Caenorhabditis elegans: one gene and its partners. The protein of the gene in region 4 interacts with the protein of the main gene of each other region in a pairwise test. Each region holds a gene or a part of one and is shown on either strand. Other genes may lie near its edges. The genes, in order: dyn-1, wbp-2, ubc-18 and wwp-1.

Region 1 (6,834 bases), on a different chromosome or scaffold from region 4:
AAAAAATCAATTGAGCTATTTTGCTAGATTTTCAATACTTTTAAACCATGTTTTATAAATGTTTTATAAATTTCAGAGCATATGAAATCATTGTACATCAACTGATTAGTCACAAATTCATTATCAGGAGTAGTATGGGAATGTTAAATTCGTTATTTGTTTACACACCGCTGGTTCTTAGTAAAATTTTCTAATAGGAAGTAACTGGAATTTGTTTGGAAACCTACAAATCTGTTAATTTCGGAATTAATATCCAAGTTTCCAAATTAGCAGAAATAAAATTTTGAAGTAATATCTGGTTGAAATGTTGTGTTTCTGCTATAAAACTTGAAAAGAAACCTTGAATCCTGCTAGAGAATCGCCTTTGGTCAGAAAATCGAACATCAGTTTTTACTGCAAGTGACAATTTTCAGGGAGTATTTGAAGCCGTTATTTTTAATCCCAACTTTTTAAATGAAAATGAGTATATTTTTCATATTTATGATATGCATATATATATGTTCAATCTATCTGTGTTAGAGCTTGATGATTATTTCGAATCGGGCGGGTTTAAAGATCTGCCAAAAAAATTTGCAGTACTACCCTGTCTTGAAAAAAAAAGAAGAAAAACTGTGATACAATTTAACAATCATGAACATACGACAATTCTCTACAAATTATAATATCATAATGAATTCCATATTTTGTTTAAACAAATTGGACTAAATGAATTTCCTCGTCTCTAATAAACAAATAGAACGTGGAAAAACCTTCTTACTAATCATGATTTCTGGTCACAATTGTGACTCGATATTTGCTAAGATGACGATTTTTCTTTTCTTCCTACGGTACTGATCGGACTGTTGTAAAAGTTTCACAATTTTGAAATATTTTATTTTATTTTTATTTTGCATAATTTCCAAAGGTCATCCATCTCATTTCCATTCTCAATAAAAAAAATTTTTAAAGTCTGCCTCTTTTTATTAAAGAAACGATGTTATTTGCTCACTAACTTCCATTCACACGTTTCCAGCGAGATAGCAGGTAAGTTGAGAGACGCAGGTGGTTAGACTACAAACAGAAGGGTGGCCGGCTGCCACCCTCTCCACACCACTATTTCACAACATTTACAATGAATTGATCTACCCGCCAAATTCTGGTTTTCGGCAATCCAAAACTGTTCGCTTTGTTTTCCACTTTTTCATTTTTCATTTCTCCTCCACTACTTATTTGGATTTTCTTTTTCAAATGTGTCCCGTTTAGTTTTTTTTTGCATCTAACAACCTTCTGTTTTTTTCCAATATTTTCATTAAACAAGCCTCCAAATTCTTCATAAAATTCCTCGTGAAAAGAAATTTCTTGTCGTGGTTACTGCTGACGCGTTTTGCGATGAGTGTGTGTTGGCACGCTCTCCGCCGTCGCTGGCCAAGCCTTTTTCTCTCCCCGCCGCAGTACTGACTGCGAGGCTGACTCACTGCGGTCATTTCGTTTGCCTCACCCTCACTTTTAGTCTCTGCATCTCCGAGTCTCTCCGCGCTTTTTTGTACGCCGATCGTTTCTTCTTCTTGTTTTCCAAACATTCAACACCGTTTTGCCGACAATGATTCTGAATATTTGTTGATTTTGTTTTTTCAAATGCGATTTGAGGATTTTTTTTTCTAATTTTATATTCTATATTCTTGAAGGTGATAAATTTCATTCTAAAACATAATTATTAAACCTCCGAAAACCTCATTGCGAAATCGTGCTTTTTCCATTAAATCTTCTCAATGCTCTTCCTCATATCATTAATCGACTAAAAAAATCGATTTTCAGGTAGTTCAGCGTATAACCACCAGGATCAGCCATGTCGTGGCAAAACCAGGGAATGCAGGCGTTGATCCCTGTGATCAATCGTGTCCAGGACGCCTTCTCCCAGCTGGGCACATCTGTCAGCTTCGAACTTCCACAGATCGCCGTCGTCGGAGGACAGTCCGCTGGAAAGTCGTCGGTGCTGGAGAATTTTGTCGGAAAGTGAGTCACAAGAAGAAAAAAAACATAACTTTGCGAAATAAAATCACAATTTTTTTCCTTTCCAGAGACTTCTTGCCACGTGGATCAGGAATCGTAACACGTCGTCCACTTATTTTGCAGCTTATTCAAGATCGCAATGAGTACGCCGAGTTCCTACACAAGAAGGGTCATCGCTTTGTGGATTTTGATGCAGTTCGGAAAGAGATTGAGGATGAGACTGATCGTGTCACTGGACAGAATAAGGGAATCAGTCCACATCCAATCAACTTGCGTGTCTTTTCTCCAAATGGTAAGCATTTAGAAACTCACAGAAACGCAAGTGCGCTGGATGATTTGAGCATCTGAAACCAGACTTATGCAACTTTTTTTAAAATTTAAATTGCATTAAAGATTTCATAAATTTACAGTGAGTTGCACAAAATCACTGGAAAAATTCACACATTTTAATTAATTCATACTTAATTTTTCAGTTCTAAATCTGACACTCATCGATTTGCCCGGTCTCACAAAAGTGCCCGTCGGAGATCAACCAGCAGATATTGAGCAACAGATCCGTGACATGATTCTCACATTCATCAACCGTGAGACTTGCCTCATTCTTGCCGTCACTCCGGCCAACAGCGATCTCGCCACTTCGGATGCGTTGAAACTTGCGAAGGAAGTCGATCCACAGGGTCTTCGCACGATTGGAGTCCTCACCAAACTTGACTTGATGGACGAGGGAACCGATGCTCGCGAGATCCTCGAGAACAAGCTGTTCACACTTCGTCGTGGCTACGTCGGAGTTGTCAATCGTGGGCAGAAGGATATTGTCGGTCGCAAGGATATTAGAGCTGCTTTGGACGCCGAGAGAAAGTTCTTCATCTCACACCCATCCTACCGACATATGGCTGATCGGTTGGGAACAAGCTACCTTCAACACACTCTTAATCAACAGCTCACCAATCATATCCGTGATACACTGCCAACACTTCGTGATAGTCTTCAAAAGAAGATGTTTGCTATGGAAAAGGATGTGGCCGAGTACAAGAACTACCAGCCAAATGATCCAGGCCGCAAGACCAAGGCTCTTTTGCAGTAAGTGATTTCAATGGAGGTGCTTTATTAACAAAATTTTTGCAGAATGGTTACCCAGTTCAATGCTGACATTGAGCGCTCCATTGAAGGTTCCTCTGCAAAGCTGGTTTCAACCAATGAGCTCAGTGGAGGAGCCCGTATCAATCGGCTTTTCCATGAGCGTTTCCCATTTGAGATTGTTAAAATGGAAATTGACGAGAAAGAAATGCGCAAAGAAATCCAGTATGCCATCAGAAACATTCACGGTATCCGCGTCGGTCTCTTCACTCCGGATATGGCGTTTGAGGCAATTGCCAAAAAGCAAATCACCCGTCTGAAGGAGCCATCGTTGAAATGCGTTGATCTGGTGGTCAACGAGTTGGCTAATGTGATCAGACAGTGCGCTGACACTATGGCTAGATATCCACGTCTTCGTGACGAGCTGGAAAGAATCGTCGTCTCGCATATGCGTGAACGTGAGCAAATTGCCAAGCAGCAAATTGGGCTCATTGTTGACTACGAACTCGCTTATATGAACACAAACCATGAGGATTTCATTGGATTCAGCAAGTAGGAGTTTAGACTTTGCTTTTAGATGTTTAATTTTATTTTTTTAGTGCTGAAGCAAAAGCCTCCCAAGGACAATCAGCGAAGAAGAATCTTGGAAACCAGGTGATCAGAAAGGGCTGGCTCTCACTGAGCAACGTATCGTTTGTGCGTGGCTCCAAGGACAATTGGTTTGTGCTCATGTCGGACAGTTTGAGTTGGTACAAAGATGATGAGGAGAAGGAGAAGAAGTACATGCTCCCATTGGATGGTGTCAAGCTGAAGGATATTGAGGGTGGATTTATGTCTCGTAACCACAAGTTTGCTCTGTTCTACCCCGACGGAAAGTGAGTTACTCAAGAATTTTGCGATTTGATTGCCATTTCAACATTCCAAGAGCCCGCACGCTTTTCTTTCCACATTAGAGTTTCATTAGGCAGAAACACAGGAACACTAAATTGAGCATGAGTTTTGAAACGAGACAAAAAACGCACACACACACAAAATCAATTTTTTTTGAATATTTGTTTAAATTAAATTAATTTGCAGGAGGTGAGTGTATAGTTTACTTTCTTCACTTCTTCTTCTTCTTTAATGACTTGTAAGACAGAAAAACCTTTGTGTTGTCGTCCTTGTGATCTGTTTTCATTTTTTTTACCCGAAAAGTTTATCCACCTTGAAACCAACACCTTTCACTTCTGTAGTCAATTTCTTATTTTTCCTGTTTCTCTTTCTCTGCTGTGACAGTTTCAGTTCAGACAAAAAAAAATACAGCATGCAAAATGCTTTTTAGATAAAAGATTCTGAACCAGCATGAAGATGTAAACTCATGTATCCTTGACCTCACGCACTTGCTTCTCCCATAACCCTTTGAATTCCAGGAACATCTACAAGGATTACAAGCAGCTTGAGTTGGGATGCACCAATTTGGACGAAATTGATGCGTGGAAGGCTTCATTCTTGCGTGCTGGTGTCTATCCAGAAAAGCAGAAGGCACAGGAAGATGAGTCCCAACAAGAGATGGAGGATACCTCGATTGATCCACAACTTGAGAGACAGGTGGAGACAATCCGTAATTTGGTTGATTCCTACATGAGAATCATTACCAAGACAATTAAGGACCTGGTTCCAAAGGCGGTGATGCATTTGATTGTTAACCAGGTGAGGGATTTTAAAAGAATTGAATGATTCATCGTGATATCATCACGGCCTGTTTTTTTAACCGTACACAATAAACCTTAAACTAAATATCTCAATAATTTCAGACAGGTGAGTTCATGAAAGATGAACTTTTGGCCCATCTCTACCAATGCGGCGACACTGATGCTCTCATGGAGGAATCTCAAATAGAAGCCCAGAAGCGCGAGGAGATGCTCCGAATGTACCATGCTTGCAAGGAGGCGCTCCGCATTATCTCTGAAGTCAACATGAGCACCCTTGGCGACCAGCCGCCGCCATTGCCGATGTCTGACTACCGCCCACACCCATCTGGACCTTCACCGGTGCCGCGTCCGGCTCCTGCTCCACCAGGCGGACGTCAGGCCCCAATGCCACCACGCGGAGGACCCGGTGCCCCACCACCACCAGGCATGAGACCACCACCAGGTGCGCCAGGAGGCGGCGGTGGCATGTACCCACCGTTGATTCCAACGTAAGTTTATGCCTATTTTTTTTCGAAAAGAGCACCAGATCTCTTCTAATCTTTCCTATTTTGGTCCGTCATACTCTTTCTTCTGTCAAAATTTTTTTTCTGAAATTTAGAAAAAAAAATACTGTCAACAAGTCAGAATAAAACCTAAAACTAACGTGTACCAACCACTCTAGGCGTCCGGGACCAGGCGGCCCACCACCCAACATGGCACCGCCTAGATAATAATGTTGTGAATAATTCCCCCACTGACCAAAGGTTTGTTAATCGCGAAGAAGCAGTACAGAGAAGTGTATAATTGTTTGTTGTAATCGTGATGTGTATTAGCAGCATCTATCTAGTGTTGTGATCCCTTGGCACTTTATCGGAACATTTTTATATTCCACTATCTTCCTGTGATTTTTTCTACAGAAAGAAGCAAAAGCTAACTTTTCTTTCTCATCAAATTTTTCATAATTTCGTCATTATTTGCATGTTTCAATGGTGGTCTAGCTTTCTGTTGTTGTAGTATTAATCTGAAACGTTGTTTTTTTTTTCAGAAGAGTACCGACACCATCCAACGGAGCACCAGAGATTCCAGCTCGCCCGCAAGTCCCCAAGAGACCTTTCTAAATGCTTTTACATCTCCATCCTAGCTCACTTGTCATACTATTACCGTTCCCATAGTAATTGTACAATGCCCCCGTTTTATCAAGCATTTCTTTTTTTTTTTTGAGAATTTTTAAATTAATCAATATCCCGAGTTCTTCCACCTTTTGAGCAAGTCTCGTTGAGGATTGCATTGGTCCCAGCGCTAACTAGGCGTCAATTCATCCACCTCTCCATTCTCTCTCCCGTTCCAACTGTGTTTTTCTTTGTCAGCGGCGAATTTTCCACAACCAATCGAGTCCTATTTCTCTTTTTTTCCCCCACCTCCCAATAATTTTATTTGCATGTTTTATAAACTCACTTTGTTCAATAATTTATTGATTTTATTTTTTCTATGATTTGAAACTTTACATTTTTCCTACTCTTCTATAGCAATACTTTGTCACTTACAATAACCCCCCCCCCCCAGTCTGCCTATATTTATTTAGATGTTCTTTATGGCCACCCAATGTATAAACTCTTTTAGTGCATTTGTAGGTTCTTTCTTCATCCCACCCAATTCCCCCTCCACCACAAATCCCAGTTTTGATTATTTTAAGCCCATATTTATAAGAAGTAAATATATTTATAGATTTTTCTTAGATTATAAGCTCTTCTAGGTTTTCCCTCGTTGAGAAGAATGATCTGAAAAAGCCTAAATTATAGATTTTTGAAACGTATTGTGTAGAATTTGTATTTATTCGTGAAAGTGGAATAAAGTTAAAACGGAAAAATGTAGTATTAGTTTTGTGCAAAACATTGGCCCTATAAATGTAGATGTAGGAAAGTCTGTTTATTCTTGGAAAAATCCCTAATTTTTGTGAAATTGTTTGGTTTGCAGCGGTCGGAAGCAATCTTGAAAATAATTATCATTTGTAATCACATTTTGGTAATTTATTACGTTTATTTTCTTCATTGATTGGTAGGTATATGTTTTCTTTCGAAAGATGAACAAATGATAGTGA
Region 2 (4,909 bases), on a different chromosome or scaffold from region 4:
ATTCCAAAAAAAATATTATTAGCGAAAATCATCCATTTTGCAAACTTTTCAGGGTTACAGCGGCCAGAACTTGCTTCTAGTTCCACAAAAATGCAATAAATTGTAATAATTGAATATTATTAAGTTCCGACCTTTGTGACACGGGAAAGCTTGCAAAATTGAAGATTTTAGCTGAAAGTATACTTTTTTCAAAATTTTGGCATATTTTTGTGTGAGCACTTGAGCATTCGGTCATTTTGAGTTTTTATTCGTTGTTTTAGATACTTTTTCGGTCGATGGTATTTACATAAAATTAAAAAAATTAGATTAAATACAGTTCCAGACACCAATAAGCTTGCAAAATTTCAGTTTTTTCAAAAAATTAGGCTCTTTTTTCTGTAATTATAAATATTTTTACCTGAATCGATCCTTTCTCATAGTATCCCATAAGTGTTCCCATGCACTTTTCCTGTCCTGTATTTTTCGCAGAACTCTTGGTACGTCTCATATGAGTGTCGACAACATTCATGTAGACTCCCGGGTGGACATTGACAGTTAAATTCGAAGCCATATTGACTTTTTTCTGAACCCTGTAATTGAAAAAAAAACTAAATTAAAGAAATAATCTGAATCAAAATAGTAAATTCAGCTGAAAACTGAAAAATGGTTTTGAAAAAATCAATAAAAAATATAAAGTTCTTAATAAATATTTTAAATTATTTATTTATTTACAATTAAAAGAAAAATTGTGTTTTTCAACGAAAAAAAAGAGAAAATAAAATAAATGTTCTGTGAATCAGAGAAAGAGATATAATTCCACTTATACATATATACTTTATCCTGGGAACGAGAGGGGGCATCAAGAGAGAGAGGGCATAGACTTAGTCTACCGAAAGTTTATAGTTTTATCACAACTTTTACTTATATTCACATGAGATTTTTAGAGAGACGTGCAAAAATTAAAAAAAAAAACAAAAAATAAATGGTGGAATTTTAGATAGTTTTTGTGTGCAACTAGACTTCTGAGCTTATTTGGAATCATTTTTCGATGCGGAAAAAAATTATGGGTAAATTGGCTTTGTTTTCTACGTGTTTCCCCATAATTTTGAACTAAACACTTTCTCTAATGTCATTTTTTGTTGTTAAATTTACAAGTTAATTTCTTCGCCTCAATCCATCGGCTGTTTCTCCTGAACCATAAGCTGGTGGTGCTTCAAATTGTCCAGCAACATGAAGTTCTTCAGTTGGATGTGGGCCGCGTTCTGGTCCGATTCCTGGATATGGTGGTGGTGCTGAGCTCATGAAAACTCGTGATGGGTTCGGCTGATCTGGGAACGAATCGGTGGTTGGATTGAAACCATTTGGTCCTGAAAATGTGAAATCTATTATTAATCGGATTAACCGGGGAATAATTTTAAAATAAAAAAAAAGTTAAATGCGGTTTAATATTATTTTTCTAACGAATTTGATAAGAAAACCATTAAATCCAAAGAAAGATGGTAAAATCAATTCAAAAATCAACAAAATTGTGAAACAAAAATGCAACGAGGTGGAAGAAAGTTGCATTAGAGCACGTTTTCATTTTTGCAAAACTGTCTGACCAGAACTGAAGATTTTTGGTATTTTTAGCAAAAAATCTCTCTTAAACAAAAAGTGATCGAAAAAAAAAAGAAAAAACTCGTTTTTTTAAAAATTAATCTTTAAAAAATTTTAAAAAATGTTTCAAACTTGGATTCCTTTTTTTTTCGTTTTTCAAAAAAGTGAAAAATGTTCAAATTCATACAAATCTCTAATGATTACGCTTAACATTTTTTAGGTAATTTTAATTTCGAATTCAGGATTATTTTTAATGTTCAAAAAATCTTACCTTGATCCGGCGACGGCTGATAATAAGCTGGCGGTGCAGAGTAGAAATCTCCAATTGGTGGAGAATATGCAGGTGGAGCATTCTCTGGTCTCATTCGAACAGCTCTTTCGACTGCTTGCAATAGAGATTGCCCGAATTCAATACATCCCCCTCTGTTGAATGTCATTCTCCATTTAACCTCTCCGCGCATTTGTCCTCCTTGAACAGCCGAGGCGATTCCACATAGGTAGTTGGCTCCGAAAATCGGCTGGTTTAAGTTAACATCTTGCATACTGTTGAATGGAATTTCAAATGATTTCAGCCAATCTCCAGGGTCTGGCATGAAAATGATTCTGTGTGATGTGAGGTAGATGGTTCCCGTTCGACGTCCTTCCAAATTCTATAAATTCGAAAATATGATTATAATTTTCAGCATTTGTGCTAATGAAGATTTTTGGTGTTTAAAAGATATGAAAAAAATACTGCAATAAATTACCTCATTTTCACTGGTTCCTAGTGTCATTACTACTCCTTGTGCAAAAATCACGATGGTTTCTCCATTATACAGTAGGACACCAAGTCCGTCCGGCGTGTTCGCCGTGTTGATGGACATCTAAATATAAATTAAACAAGTGGTAGCAGGATAAAAAAAGGTACCCAGAAGCGGATTTTCTATCGAAAAACCGAAGCATAATACGAAAAAAAAACAAATGAAAATGTTAGTTTAGGGAAAAATCTTCGTTTAAATTTTAAAAAATTATAAAATTGGGGAAAAAGCACAATAATTAGAGACCTAGATCATATTTACAACAAAAAAACCGGTTCAAAGTTGAGATAACCTATCAAAAATTGAGGGCAGGCAAAAGACTAGCTATACATTTTCGTGTCAATGAAAGGATGGAAAAATAAAATAAAATGGCAAAAAAGCACCAAAAAGCCGTGATGAAAACTTACAAAAACAAGTGACAAAATTACATGTTTTAGAGAACCTATTTTCGAGTCTATGTGATAATAGAACTAGAAACAAACAAACAAACAAACAATTGCACACACCTAGAATCTAAGAAAATCGTTTTAGCTGATCAAACATCGAGGAGATTTCAGATTTTTTCACGTTGTAATTGAGCCATGAACTCTTCGAGTTTCTCTTGGATTCGGCGAACTTGTTCTGAAATGGAGAATGTATAATTTTGTTTTGAATGAAACTTCGCAACATTTTGAAATTGAAAATGGAATCTCAATTATAAAAATTTACATTACATTTGGAATTTAAAGAATTTTAAAAGTATAACTTTGCATGAGAAATCCAGGTTTTCATTAATAAAAATTTGAAGATCAGAAAAAAACATACGAATTTCTTCTGCAAGATCGACACGTCTTCCCGTCAAATATTTCTTTTTAATATCTGGCTCTTGTGACCAATCATCCAACACCTCCTTAATCTCTTTTTCCAGCCTTCTGTGTTCAGTATTTGTGATTTGTTGCCGCAGTGCGTTACACGTCAAGTTGACCATCTTTTGGATTCTGTAGAAAAGTACGATGGTTTGGCAATCGATATCTTGTCCTTCAATCATTCCTTGACGATACATCTGATACATCGATAGACAGTCCTTGCTGCTCTGCAGAAAATATTTTATAAAAATTTAATTTCAAATGTTTCAGTCACACTTACATTAATTATCCTCTCCAAAAAGTGCTTCTTAAATACTAATTTCCATTGTTTTCTAATCGATTCAGTGGGAACTTCAAGTACGCCTTTCGTCTCAATATTTCTTCTGATTACAGTAATATCATCATCAGTCAACGCCTGTTTGTGCTCTGGATCTGCTCCTAAAATTGAGTAAAGCTCGTCCTGAATGACACATGAATAATGATTATCAGCAGTTGGGGTCTTCCACATTAGCCATTTCGATGCCCAACCCGGTCCTCTGTCGTCAGTAAGCTGCTTCTTCACTGCTGCAAGACGTTCTGATGCAGCCTTGTGAAGGAAATTGCATGCAGCATCCCATGATCGTTTATCCTGAACAGCACGATCCTCCATTGCATTCAATTGAATTACTCGGAGATAATCCATCGCTTTGTCATCCCATCCGTGCGTCAGCATAGCTTCTTCGATTACTGCTTCCTGGAATTAAATTATTTAAATTTTAATCATTCAAAAAAAACTACCTTTAAAGCATCAAACACTGGATCATGATCTTTTTTCGTTCTGGCATCTTGATTAATTTGTCTAAAGAAAACTTCTTTCAAAGTATCCCATCCGGTTTCGATGCTCTTTTGAGCCAGTTGCTTATCAGCAAAGTGTTTCAACTTGATATCAACTGTTGTGTTGAAAGATCCGGAACTTGAAGAAGCATACGCAGGCATCAATATCTGATCAAAAACATGTGAAGATATTCCTGACCATAGTTTGTCTTGAAGTAGTTTCTCCCATTCTTCAACTCCGATTAACGATAAATTCACAATTTCATCCAGAATTTCTCCTCTTGCTTTGTCATATAACTCGTCACGATTTAGTTGTCGTATTCTCAAAAAGTGATTCTTCCATTCAGCTTCTAAATTAAATTTGGCTGCTCTAAACGCATCAGTTTGACTTTCAATAGAATCCCGAACCATTCTCCAAAAACAATCTGAAACTGCCAATGACATGTTTCGAGTTGTCATCTGCGATGGTTTCAGAACACCATCCCGTAGTAACTGGCTTGTTGAGAAGAAATTCTCCTCATACTTTCTAATTTCATCGATCGAATCCGAACTGTTTCCTCTTCCAGTCACAACTCCGAAATAGCCAAGAGCCTTCATTGGAAATAGCTTTCCTTCAAGGATTTTCTTGATTCTATCAGGATTGGCCAAGTTCTTCTCAGCCATATCGACTTTTGTAAGAACTAGAATCGTGCGTTTTCCTGATGGATCAATGCTACTGACCAGGTCAGTTACGTTGCTTCTTTCCGCGTCAACCGATCTAAAATTTGAAAACTTCAATGATTTTCAGAAAAAAGATGAATACTCACCCATCCTGAATGCATAAAATGATTGCATTTGGGTTTTCCATGTGTGCTTTACTCATTCGAATGATGTCATCTT
Region 3 (3,987 bases), on a different chromosome or scaffold from region 4:
CACTTTCAAACAATTCCCTGAAGATTTCCATAAAATTTTATATAATTTCTCTCGACTCTTACCTAGTCTCTTCTAAATTCTCCAAATCACAATCTTTACTTCCAATAAAGACCCATTTCTCATCGTCTCGCTTTTCAGTAGTTTCAACTACCTGAATTTTTGGTTATAGATTTTTAGATTATAACAGATATATTCTACCTTTTTAATAGCGCTTCCAACTAAGCCAGTTCCTCCAGTAACTAGAATAGTTTTCATTGTCTGAAAATTAATGAATTTAATTTAAATTGAGCGCTCTAAATAGATCAGAAACATGAAGAAAAGTAGCAAAAACTGGAGGAAAAGCGCAATCGCCGGTGCATCGAAAAAGCCACGTTTAGTCGCGTCGCGTTAAATGAGAGACGTGAGGACGTAGAGACGCAGGAGATACAACACATTCGTTCGTTGTTTTGCATGCACAGCCGTGTTGTTATCGGCAACATCATTCAATTTTCTGCTTATCTACCAGACCCGGTTCAGGATTTATTTCAGTTCTTGCTTTGGATGTGGGAAATCAGGTTGGAATTGGATGAAATTGAAGTGGATTGAATGATTGGGACGGTGAAAACGAGAATATGATAAATACAGAAAAGAAACATAAGATGAACTCGAAATCGAACGAATTTAGATCTGAGCTCTTGGCGCCTATTCAGGCCGCTTTTCGGCGTGCTTTCGAGTGTGCTCCTCGGCGGTCTTCATGAACTTTTTGTGATCCTTTTGGAACTCCTCGGCAACGTCGGCACGAATTGGATGGGATGGTTCTGGTTCGTTGATCAGTGACAGCAAGGCCATCATCACTGAAAAATTACGATATTGAGAGAAGCCAGAATAACTTTTTAACTAAATTTAACTATTTCTACGATGTAAACTACCCCGTTCCTTGTTAAATTAAATGATATGCCTACCTTGCTCGGTCTTGGTAGCTGGCTTCCAGTTTTCAGCTGTCACAATTGGAAGACAGAACTTTCCTTCCTCATCAACATTTGGATGGTAAATCTTGGTCTCGAACGCGACCTTTGGTGGCTTGAATGGGTAGTCAACGGGGAACGTGATTCCAACTTTGAACGCACCTTTGTTGTATGGCTCCTTATCCTGAAAATTAAATTTAATTGAAAATTAAAATTATTTTATTAGTGAACAAAGTTCTTACTGGGATAAGGAGAACTGTCCATTTCAAGAGATTTGTCTCCTCGCACTCAACATTCTCGTACGCCTTCACTCCACAGTTTTTGAGATCACCGAGTTCCTGAACATTTGAATTGTGAATTGTACAATAAACATGATTTTCTCACCTTCTGAAGACGCCGTGTCGCTGACATGTTGATATAAACGCTCTAGTTGGGTTAACACTGAAATATAAAATGTTATGAAGTTTCCTAACAAATTTAAAAAACAAGCCAAAACGAGTTCAAACAAAGGATATATTGATTTCGGCTGGAACTGGTATGACTTCCAAGAGGATCATCATGATTCTTGAAGTTAGTAGATTTAAAATAAAATTTACAAGTTTTTGAAAGTGGTAAATGGTGACAAATAATGAAATCATTGACCAAAACAGGTTGTCAGCATGAAATTTGACTGTCGGCAAATCTAATGCTTTGTACGCAAGAACACCGCAACGCAGAAATGCACAGACAATTGGCGCCAGATTCAAACGATAATATCTTTGTCAAAAAACATGTCTAAAAATAAAACTAAATCACTGCATTGATTAAAAGACAATGAGAATATAAATTCAGGGTACATCGAGTTAATGTATAAACTCGAATATCAGGCGCTACGAGTGTGTCGAGTTGTTATTCAGCAATGTACCTCGAATCGTTGCCTAGGCAACACGCTTAAAAGTGACGAGTCCACAAATAAAATGATTTTCGATTCCCAATGAGTTCAACACTACAGAACGATTTTCTGACTGATTTAGGAAAAACTAATTTAGATAAGGAAGCAGAAAACTTGGTAACTCTAATATTTTTGATTGTAATTTTTACAATTTTCGCGTTAGCAGTCATTGGAGCAATTTTGATAGGATGTCTAAAGGTTTGATTTTTCTCAAATAATCTAAAAGATTTATTTCAGCCTCAATGGTTCCGCCTAAATATTTATCAAGACCCCGTTCCAAAAATGGCAGACTTTTCATGTATAAACGTGTGTATTCCATGTAATTCATGCTCTTTACGTCAGTTACTTAATGGATGTTGTCCTAGATTAGTGAGTCTACAGTAGAAAGATCTACGAAAAATCAAAACTTTCAGCATTTAAAACAACGATTCAACTTCATAACAACGTGCTGTGACCGACCGGGACCCGAAAAATTAAATCTTGTTTGCTGTGTTGTTTAATTGTTGTAAATAGAATGAATAACATTATGTATTAACGAAAACTACAAAGATTTTAACCATTCCGCTACAGTAACCGCCAGTACGGTAGATTGCAATTTTCGCTGAATTTTCTAATATTATTATATACTCTTTTCGATAATCTGCTAATAAATATACAGATGTACAATTAAAATCATAAAGTTAATAAACCCTCAATGTGAAGTTGCAAAATATTAGCAAGTCCGGTAGCTGAAAATTTTAGCTCGTGGCAAGACCCGAGAACGTAATGCCACATTTAAGACGAGCCTGATTGCAGAGCTAAATGAAGGGATAAAATCATTTTAAAAAAAAACTATGAACAATCAATGGTTAAAATTTTCGCGAAACATTGTTTTAAAAGTTTAGGTTCATGTTTTGACGAATTATATTTTGCTCATAAAGAAATAGCTGAAATTGTAGCTTAACATTTTCTCAATTCGTTTTACACATTTCCATCTCCATCTCCACATTGGAGCACCATTTCCCTTTCTGTGGTTGGTTTCCATAGTAACCGCCCACCGCCTCGTAACCTCTTTGGGGTCCTAGTGCTATTAAAAATGGAAAATCTATCACAAGAACCATTTAAGTTGGGTGAGAATCTCTAAAAACCACTTTTCACAACTTTTTTAAAAAATTATTACAGAAATAATCTCAAGTTTTCCACTTCAAATTGCAATATATTTCAACTTATGCATCTATCCTATGCATTTGATTAATCTATGCTTATCATTATACTTCAAGGTAAAAAAAAAAATTACAGTGGAACATACTTAGAGCATTATTTGAATTTCAGCATAGTCTGCTGTCATTAACGTATCAAGTAATTGCATTTTCTGCGTGTTTAGTTCATTTGGGAAGTGAAGGAGTACGGCTAGGACTTGGATTTTATGGAAATTTGGCAGAAAATGTAAGTTTTGAATGAGTCAAGTCAGAAAATCGACACTAGTGTTTACAGATGTCAGCTCTTTTTGGATTCTTAATAACTACAATTATTATTCAAATTCCTCTTACAGTATTCTTGGCAGTGAATGGCTCTTTTCTGAATCTCCCACTTGAATACGTTTTCTACACAATGATTGTGATTTTTAGTGGATTTCAAGTGAAAATTCAAAAATCTGAATATTCTCAAAATATTTCTATTTCAGACTGTATTCGCTATAGAAGCTTTGATGAAAACTGCCGAACGAGAAGTTGCAAAATATATTAACAAGATTCAACAAGAAAAAGTAGCTGACGAGCTCGAGAAAACTTCAGGAAAATCTCCAAAAAGTGGAAGAAAAACGTTGAAAAAACAATTGTCAAGATGATGTATTTGAATAAACCCATTATTTATATGAATTTTAAAGTGAGATTTTTGAAATAAGAGACATGTGATAGCAAGATCAGAAAGTAAGAGATAAATTGAAATTACATGTTAGAATATTTAAATAAGACCAAGTGCTTGCTCGACAGTTTTCGACTCTCCAGGCTGGTAGATTTTGTTGATTAATGCTATGCTTCTTGCATGGGGAGCAGTCCGACGACGTTGATGAGCACACCAACTGAAATTTTTTTTTTTGGATTCTCTGACTTTGAAGAAATAGTAGTGATCACA
Region 4 (8,008 bases):
AATTTTGTTGAAAAGGCTGCTGCAAAAACTTTGCCAGCAAAAAATTTTGTGCAAGCACGCTCCATCGCACAGTTTGAACGTCGCGGGTCGAAGTTAGATGTGCAGGTCATATAGCAAAAAGAGAAACACCCCTTTTTTTCTCGAGAAGTTTCACCAATTTTGCGCGATTTTTCAACTATTTTTTTGCTTTTTTGGCTTAATTTTGGCTCAGATTTTCCTCAAAAACATGAAAATCCAATCTAGAATAAGTAGTAATGGGTATATTCTAAGATTGTGCAAAAGTTAGCTTGAATTTCCTCGATTAAAGCTTTCCTACCAAGAAAAATGTGTGGATATTTTGAATTTACAAGTTTTTCATCTTTTTTTTGTAATATTCTCTTTGAAACTCCTGTTTCTCTCAAATTTGTAAACTTTCATAAACGTTTTTTTCAGGGTTACCACATTAAACAATGACCGGAAGCACCGAAACTCGCCAGAAGGAAGTCAAGGAGGTTGGTTGTTCAAAGTGACGTCTAAAATATTTAAATTTCTATATTTCAGCCACAAGTTGACGTTTCGGATGATTCCGACAACGAGGCCGTCGAGCAAGAGCTCACCGAGGAGCAAAGACGTGTGGCCGAGGCTGCTGGACTTGGAGATCACATCGACAAGCAGGCCAAGCAAAGCCGCTCCGAGAAGAAGGCCCGCAAGCTCTTCTCCAAGCTCGGACTCAAGCAAGTGACTGGTGTCTCCCGTGTCTGCATTCGCAAGTCGAAGAACATCCTCTTCGTCATAAACAAGCCAGACGTGTTCAAGAGCCCAGGATCTGACACCTACATCATCTTCGGAGAAGCCAAGATCGAGGATCTCACCCAACACGCCCAGATGTCTGCTATTGAGAACTTGAAGCCAACTCGTGAGGCCCCACAACTCAAGACTGTCGAAGAGGACGAGAATGAGGATGTTGAGGTAATTCAGTAACTTAATCGGATTTATTACATTAATTGTACGGTTTAAGGAGGATTCCACCGGCATTGAGGAGAAGGACATCGAGCTTGTCATTTCCCAAGCCAACACCACCCGCAACAAGGCCATCAGGGCGCTTAAGGAAGCTGACAATGACATCGTCAATGCCATCATGAGCCTTACCATGTAGCTTGTTTCCTGATGACCTTGCAGATACTCTTGTTATCGTTGTATCTCTTGCTTATCCCGTTTTCCGTTCCAAGTAAACGTTTATCAGTCTTTTTTAACTTTTTTGTTATGTTTAAAAAACAATTGCATCTTCGAATTGACCTACCTTTTACAGAAAAGAACAATTAAATCACTGTTTGTGTAAAACACCCCTCTATTGATCGAGAACTTTCACTTCTTCCAATTCTTTACTCGTATGACTGTGATTCATTTCACCTGCTATCACTTTATCATGACATTCCAGTTTATATCAACAGCAAATACCAATTGTGTGTATGTGAAAAATGCTATTGAATAGCAAGCGCGCCCCAACAAACACGTTTGAATGCGCGGGCGAAACGGCGTTAGATGTGCAGGTCATATGACAAAACGCATCGACCAGCAGCCAATGGCAAGTTACTGCGAGCTGTTATAGATTTTTTCACATGGTTTCCAGTGTTATCAGTTGGAAATCGATCGATAATACTGACTAGTAGTACTTAACATCTTCATTCCCACCGTTTCGCTGTCATTTGTGATACGTGGATTTATTTTTCCTTTCTCGCCGACTTTTCATTTCTAAATCTTTTCTGGAATTGCGAAATTTTCAGCCAGTTTCATGATCGAATGGCTCGTAATGAACCATCATCTCAGCAGCCGAGTAGTTCCGGGAGTAATGGAACTCCAGCACAACAAAACGGGTCGGCAAAACCATCAAAAGTCACAGTAAAAGGTAACAATTCGTAGATTTTTTGCATCTGTTCTAATAATATTTCCCCCTCTTAATCATAGTCGTCAACGCGTCGTTCACCAAGGCAGCCGACTGCTATGTCGAAATCACGAGTGACACGTCATCGGCGGCGCCAAAAAAGACGACTGTAAAGAAGAAGACGATGGCGCCCGAGTGGAATGAACATCTCAACGTTCATGCAAATGAATCTTCGACAATTTCGTTTCGTCTATTGCAAAAAGCCAAGCTATTCGATGACACGTGTCTAGGGATGGCGAAGCTGAAGCTTTCGAGTCTCACAAGAAATGAGAATGGAGAGTGTAAGTGGTTTTATTGAAATTTTCTCAAAAAATCTATTATTTCAGTCAAAAACGACATCAACAATATATCTTTGCTGGCCAAAGACTCCTCGAAAATCGGAACTCTCAACATAATTTTCTCCGGATATCCAGAGCGGAAACGAAGAAGCGCAGGAGTACGAGCTGAAACCGCCGCGTCTGCAAGTTCAGAGGCATCCACGTCAAATGGCGTTGCCACGTCATCCTCGGCGCGGAGACCGGCGACAGCGAAGCGTGACACTTTGGCGGCTCCAACGGTAATCGTGACGAGACCCATTTTGAATTATTTAATTATTCATGAAACGCTCTACTGGAGTGTTCATAATTATTAGAGCGCGCTCGCGCGGCACCTCACGAACTCCAGAATTCGCGAGGACAGCAGTTTTTGGCTATTTTGGCTTCTATGGAAATTATTTTTAATTTTTTGATTTAAAATATTGTTGAGAAGCATCATCCAAATTGAAAATGTGTAAAATTATGAAATTTGACCGAAAACTGAAGGTTTTACAGAGAGGAGTCACCACGGCTTTCTTTAAAAAGTATCAGTACCGTCAGTATTTCGATTTCAGAGTCGTAAAATATGTCATTTTGTAGAGAAACGTCTGTTTCACAAAAATCCATGTTTGATATTTTAATTGTTTAATTTCTAATATAAAAATATTCAAAAAATCAACAAGTTTACGTTAAAATCGAATTTTTCAATCGTTCAGTTTTTAATAAGAACAATTTCATAATTTCAAACATGGATTTTTTTGAAACAGACTTTTCTCTACAAAATGACATATTTTACGACTCTGAAATCGAAAAAACTGACGGTACTGATACATTTTAAAGAAAGTCGTGGTGACTCCTCTCTGTAAACCTTCAGTTTTCGTTAAAAATAATTTCCATAGAAGCCAAAAATAGCCAAAAACTGCTGTCCCCGCGAAACGAAATCCCGCGAATTCTGGAGTTCGTGAGGTGCCGCGCGAGCGCGCTCTAATAATTATGAACACTAGAGGAGAGCGTGAATGAGCGTTTTTTATTCTTTTCTCTGCATTTTTAATGCTACAGAATCATACACAAAATGTTGTCAAATACATGCATTACTCTACTACTCTTAATGTTTACTTTTCATTTGCAGAGTACCGCAGCGGCGGCAGCAGCAGCAACAGCAGGCGGCACCCCGGCCGCCGGAGCAGAAGAACAGCTTCCCGATGGATGGGAGATGCGTTTCGATCAATACGGACGCAAGTACTACGTGGATCACACCACCAAGAGCACCACGTGGGAACGCCCGTCTACTCAGCCATTGCCACAGGGATGGGAAATGCGAAGAGATCCGAGAGGAAGAGTGAGTTTTCCGGCGGAAAAAGCAGATTTAGCACGAGAAAAGCGTTTCTGATTATATTTTTGATGCGAAAATCATCAAAATTAAAAATATCTACCGTAGCCGCGGATACCTGGACCAAAATGCCGAAAAAAGTGACCTGATAAATTATTTTAAGGCTAAAATCTTGATTTTTACATAATTAGTGTCTTATTTTTGTTGATTTCTTGTCAAATTTTTGTAATTGCATCGAAATAGGCCAAAAATAAAGTAAAAATCAACTTCCAACACAGAAAAACTGACAAAATTGAAGATTTTTGCTGAATTCAGGCAATTTTTCGTAATTTTGATCCTCCATAATTTTTTTTTTCGAGAAAATTTTGAAATTTTTTCTTTAAATACGGCCTGAAAATTAGGAAATTATAACGACGGATAAAAAATTCTGATTTTCTTTATTTTAACCAAGGTCTCCAATTATTTGATAATCGAAAAAAAAAAAACTTTCCAGTGATTTTTACTTGAAAAATGTCTAAAAATTCACGCCAGGTGCACAATCCATTTTCAGGTGTATTACGTGGATCACAACACGCGCACGACCACCTGGCAACGACCGACAGCCGATATGCTTGAAGCACACGAACAATGGCAATCGGGAAGAGATCAGGCGATGCTTCAATGGGAACAACGTTTCCTTCTCCAGCAGAACAACTTTAGCGCCGACGATCCACTCGGACCATTGCCCGAAGGATGGGAGAAGCGTCAGGATCCGAATACGTCGAGAATGTACTTTGTGAATCATGTAAATAGAACGACACAATGGGAAGATCCGAGAACACAGGGGTATGTGAAAATTTTCAATTTTCCAATAATATTTCTATCAAAAATCACAGTTTTAATGTTTTAAAAGTTTCAGAGGCTCCGACCAACCTCTTCCGGATGGTTGGGAAATGCGATTCACCGAGCAAGGCGTTCCATTCTTCATCGATCACCAGTCTAAAACCACCACCTATAATGATCCAAGAACCGGAAAACCCGTCGGCCCGCTCGGCGTCGTCGGTGTTCAAATGGCCATGGAGAAGAGTTTCCGGTGGAAAATTGCACAATTCAGATATTTATGCTTGGTAAGGGAGGGCGAGAAATTCTTTGATTTTAGCTATAAATTGATGTAAATTTCAGTCAAACAGTGTGCCTAATCATGTCAAAATCACAGTATCCCGTAATAACGTGTTCGAAGACTCATTCCAAGAAATTATGCGTAAAAATGCAGTCGATCTACGCCGGCGGCTGTACATTCAATTCCGAGGCGAAGAGGGTCTCGACTATGGAGGTGTCGCCAGAGAATGGTTCTTCCTGCTGTCGCACGAAGTGTTGAATCCAATGTATTGCCTATTCATGTATGCTGGTAATAACAATTATAGTCTTCAAATCAATCCAGCTTCATTTGTTAACCCGGATCATCTTAAGTATTTCGAGTATATTGGACGATTCATTGCCATGGTGAGTGTTTTTTTTTAATTGAAAATCAGTTGAAAATTGGATGAAAAATTGCGAAATCGAGAGAAAATCGAGTTTTCCGCTTTTTACAATTGAATTTTAAAATTTTAAACGTTAAATTTTGCAGAAAATTCCAAAAAAAAGCACTTGGATCTAAAATTTTTGTTTTTTGATGAAGGAAATCCTTAAATATCGATTTTTTTTATTTTCAGCTCAAAAAACCTGGAAATTTCGATGATCTCAAATTTTCAGATCAATATATTTCATTTTCTCCTAAAAATGTTATTTTTATTTAAACAAATAGTTTTTCTTAGAAAATTCCTTTATTTTCAAATTTCCAGGCGCTATTCCACGGGAAATTCATCTACAGCGGTTTCACGATGCCATTCTACAAAAAGATGCTCAACAAGAAGATTGTTTTAAAGGACATTGAACAAGTCGATTCGGAAATTTATAATTCATTGATGTGGATCAAGGATAACAATATCGATGAATGCGATATGGAGCTCTATTTTGTTGCCGATTACGAGCTGCTCGGCGAGCTCAAGACTTATGAGCTTAAGGAGGGCGGTACAGAGATTGCTGTTACCGAGGAGAATAAGGTGAGATTTTGGATTAGCTAGAGCTTATAAAAATAATTTTTAAATAAAATAATTTAATTTAAAAAATCCCAATTTTCCAGCTTGAATACATCGAACTGCTCGTTGAGTGGCGCTTCAATCGCGGTGTCGAACAACAGACAAAAGCCTTCTTCACCGGCTTCAACTCGGTCTTCCCGTTGGAATGGATGCAGTATTTCGATGAAAGAGAGCTCGAGCTGTTGCTCTGCGGAATGCAGGACGTTGATGTGGACGATTGGCAGAGAAATACTGTCTACAGACATTATGCTCCACAGAGCAAGCAGGTAGGGGAGAACATTTGATTAAAACTTCTTTTTTTTTAATTAAAAAATACATTTATAGGTAACCTGGTTCTGGCAATGGGTTCGAAGTCTGGACCAAGAAAAACGTGCCCGGCTCCTACAATTCGTCACAGGAACGTGCCGTGTGCCAGTCGGTGGATTTTCCGAGCTGATGGGCTCGACGGGACCACAACTATTCTGTATCGAGCGTGTCGGCAAGGAGAACTGGCTCCCACGGTCGCATACGTGCTTCAATCGACTCGACTTGCCGCCATACAGAAGCTACGATCAGCTCGTCGAGAAGTTGAGCATGGCGATCGAGATGACGGAAGGATTTGGAAACGAGTAGTCTCCCGTTGTTTTTTTTTGGTTTTGCTGGCCGCCTAATTATTGTATAACCCTCATATTTCTTCTCACCCACACCCCATTGATTTTCCTTTTTTTTCTCTCCATCAATTAATGTTTCTTTTTTTCGAATTTGTGTGATAATTTTCGTGTTGTGATACCACTTGCTTAGGTTCTCTCTCTCTCTTTCCTTTCCTTCTGGGTATGTACCTATATTTAGAATATAGACAAAGCATCTAGTTTTTTTGGATTTAATTTCCAAATTTCCCGTTTAATTCCAACAACAAAAAAACAATTCCACCACTTTTCAAATATTTTTTTTGTGTCCATTGCTTCATTGCTTTTCTTCTTCTCAACCATTTCAACCACCACCACCCAATCTGCGCCTTATTCTTACTTGGTCCTTGTCATTCTTAGTTCCAGTTTTTTTCACGGAAGCAGCTCTCGATTATTAATTCAAATGCATCCCCCCAACCAATCCGTCACCCCCCGATTAGAACAATTTCTACTTTTTTTTTTGAAAACAAAAAAAAACACAATTCCTCGATTTGGTTGTAATGAATTTAATTTTTTAAATTTTGAGCCTTTTTTGTTGTTTTAGGTTTTCTTAACTTTCAGAATTTCCATGCGGAACACACGGAGAGCAGAAGATCAATATTTTGAACCCTGCAGGAGAAGGACGGGACCCTTTGGTCACTCATGTCTCGGCTGTCTGCGTCTCTCCTCTCTCTCTGCACCAGCGGAGAGGATGGATAGCCTCATTCGTTTTATTTCGGACTTTCGATTTTTCTTATTGCTCCACGTTTTAGCTTTTATCAGATTCGGGGAGCTCTTGCTTTTTTCTTGATTTTTTCGTAAAGTGTTCTTGGGTCCCGCAGCGAAAATTAACTTTAAAATGATTTTTTAAAAACTTTCTAAAAATTCATTTTTTTTTCCATTTTACGACTAGAAATTTCGAAATTTGAAAAAAAAAACCGTGTTGCAAATGCGCTCCAGCGTACAAAACAAAACCGCCACCAAAAAATTTAAATTACTGAAAAAAACGATGAAATTTTGAATTTGTTTTGCCATTTTCCGGCAATGATTTTTTAAATAAAAAAAACTGTACAACAAATGCGCTCCAGCGAACTAACCTTCAAATTACCGAAAAAAATTATAAAAATTTGAATATTTCCGATTAACCCAAGAAAAGAAAAATTCAATGATTTTCTTGAAAAAAGTTATTTTTTTCTCAATTTTTCGTCAATAATACTCAAAATTTGAAGAAAAATTGTGTAGCAAGCGCGCTCTAGCGAACCAAACAAAATGTCTCCATTGAAGCGTTTCACGAGGTTCTGGCCTACCTCATTGAATTTTTCGCGCTCCATTGACAATCGCCCGCCGATAACGCGTGGGAAAGTCGTGTACTCCACACGGACAAATACATTTAGTTTTACTACAAATATCGAGCCGCGACGCGACACGCAACGCGCCGTAAATCTACCCCAGATATGGCCGAGCCAAAATGGCCTAGTTCGGCAAAAACTCTTCCATTTCAATTCATGAGGGAAGCCAGAAATCCGTGATCCAAGTAAAAAAAATCCCAAAAATTTCAATTTGCAAGGGCGCTCCATTGAAAACTGTGGCGCCGATCGCAACTCACGGTCGAATTTGAATTTTTAGTTGAAAAAAAAACACCAATTTGAACTGAAAATTTGAATTTTCAATTTTTTCCCTAAAATAAATTGTTCAGAGTTTCG

Evidence for each region.
Region 1: the proteins of wwp-1 (region 4) and dyn-1 interact in binary tests that used the Caenorhabditis elegans proteins (3 or more experiments, as listed by UniProt).
Region 2: the proteins of wwp-1 (region 4) and wbp-2 interact in a two-hybrid assay, tested with the Caenorhabditis elegans proteins (2 studies listed by BioGRID).
Region 3: the proteins of wwp-1 (region 4) and ubc-18 interact in binary tests that used the Caenorhabditis elegans proteins (3 or more experiments, as listed by UniProt).

The regions. Positions count from the first base shown.
Region 1 is NC_003284.9:15,567,096-15,573,929, forward strand, and holds dyn-1 (Dynamin), read left to right. Parts: upstream 1-1,825; coding exon 1,826-1,992; intron 1,993-2,057; coding exon 2,058-2,281; intron 2,282-2,462; coding exon 2,463-3,069; intron 3,070-3,114; coding exon 3,115-3,618; intron 3,619-3,665; coding exon 3,666-3,941; intron 3,942-4,475; coding exon 4,476-4,755; intron 4,756-4,859; coding exon 4,860-5,245; intron 5,246-5,418; coding exon of another isoform or gene 5,419-5,467; exon of another isoform or gene 5,468-5,500; intron 5,501-5,781; coding exon 5,782-5,854; downstream 5,855-6,834.
Region 2 is NC_003280.10:9,327,303-9,332,211, reverse strand, and holds wbp-2 (GRAM domain-containing protein), read right to left. Parts: upstream 2,439-4,909; coding exon 2,322-2,438; intron 2,226-2,321; coding exon 1,847-2,225; intron 1,347-1,846; coding exon 1,135-1,346; 3' UTR 685-1,134; downstream 1-684. Other genes in the region: eif-3.F (Eukaryotic translation initiation factor 3 subunit F), read right to left, coding at 398-550; eat-3 (Dynamin-like GTPase OPA1, mitochondrial), read right to left, coding at 2,926-2,993, 3,177-3,444, 3,498-3,950, 3,995-4,787, 4,837-4,909.
Region 3 is NC_003281.10:7,067,186-7,071,172, forward strand, and holds ubc-18 (Ubiquitin-conjugating enzyme E2 ubc-18), read right to left. Parts: upstream 1,386-3,987; 5' UTR 1,356-1,385; coding exon 1,329-1,355; intron 1,283-1,328; coding exon 1,187-1,282; intron 1,129-1,186; coding exon 942-1,128; intron 834-941; coding exon 682-833; 3' UTR 501-681; downstream 1-500. Other genes in the region: ger-1 (GDP-L-fucose synthase), read right to left, coding at 1-17, 63-151, 199-255; R01H2.8 (uncharacterized protein), read left to right, coding at 1,918-2,073, 2,113-2,244, 2,289-2,375; tmem-17 (transmembrane 17 domain-containing protein), read left to right, coding at 3,096-3,134, 3,187-3,300, 3,349-3,471, 3,539-3,700; lin-37 (uncharacterized protein), read right to left, coding at 3,817-3,934. UniProt on the Caenorhabditis elegans protein: Ubiquitin-conjugating enzyme E2. Accepts ubiquitin from the E1 complex and catalyzes its covalent attachment to other proteins. Required for diet restriction-mediated lifespan extension, probably acting as part of a complex with ubiquitin-protein ligase wwp-1.
Region 4 is NC_003279.8:535,359-543,366, forward strand, and holds wwp-1 (E3 ubiquitin-protein ligase wwp-1), read left to right. Parts: upstream 1-1,763; 5' UTR 1,764-1,779; coding exon 1,780-1,885; intron 1,886-1,944; coding exon 1,945-2,202; intron 2,203-2,247; coding exon 2,248-2,477; intron 2,478-3,343; coding exon 3,344-3,553; intron 3,554-3,727; exon of another isoform or gene 3,728-3,884; intron 3,885-4,094; coding exon 4,095-4,369; intron 4,370-4,436; coding exon 4,437-4,650; intron 4,651-4,705; coding exon 4,706-5,026; intron 5,027-5,364; coding exon 5,365-5,625; intron 5,626-5,705; coding exon 5,706-5,927; intron 5,928-5,985; coding exon 5,986-6,273; 3' UTR 6,274-6,840; downstream 6,841-8,008. Other genes in the region: icd-2 (Nascent polypeptide-associated complex subunit alpha), read left to right, coding at 450-491, 541-948, 998-1,135. UniProt on the Caenorhabditis elegans protein: E3 ubiquitin-protein ligase which accepts ubiquitin from an E2 ubiquitin-conjugating enzyme in the form of a thioester and then directly transfers the ubiquitin to targeted substrates. Ubiquitinates klf-1.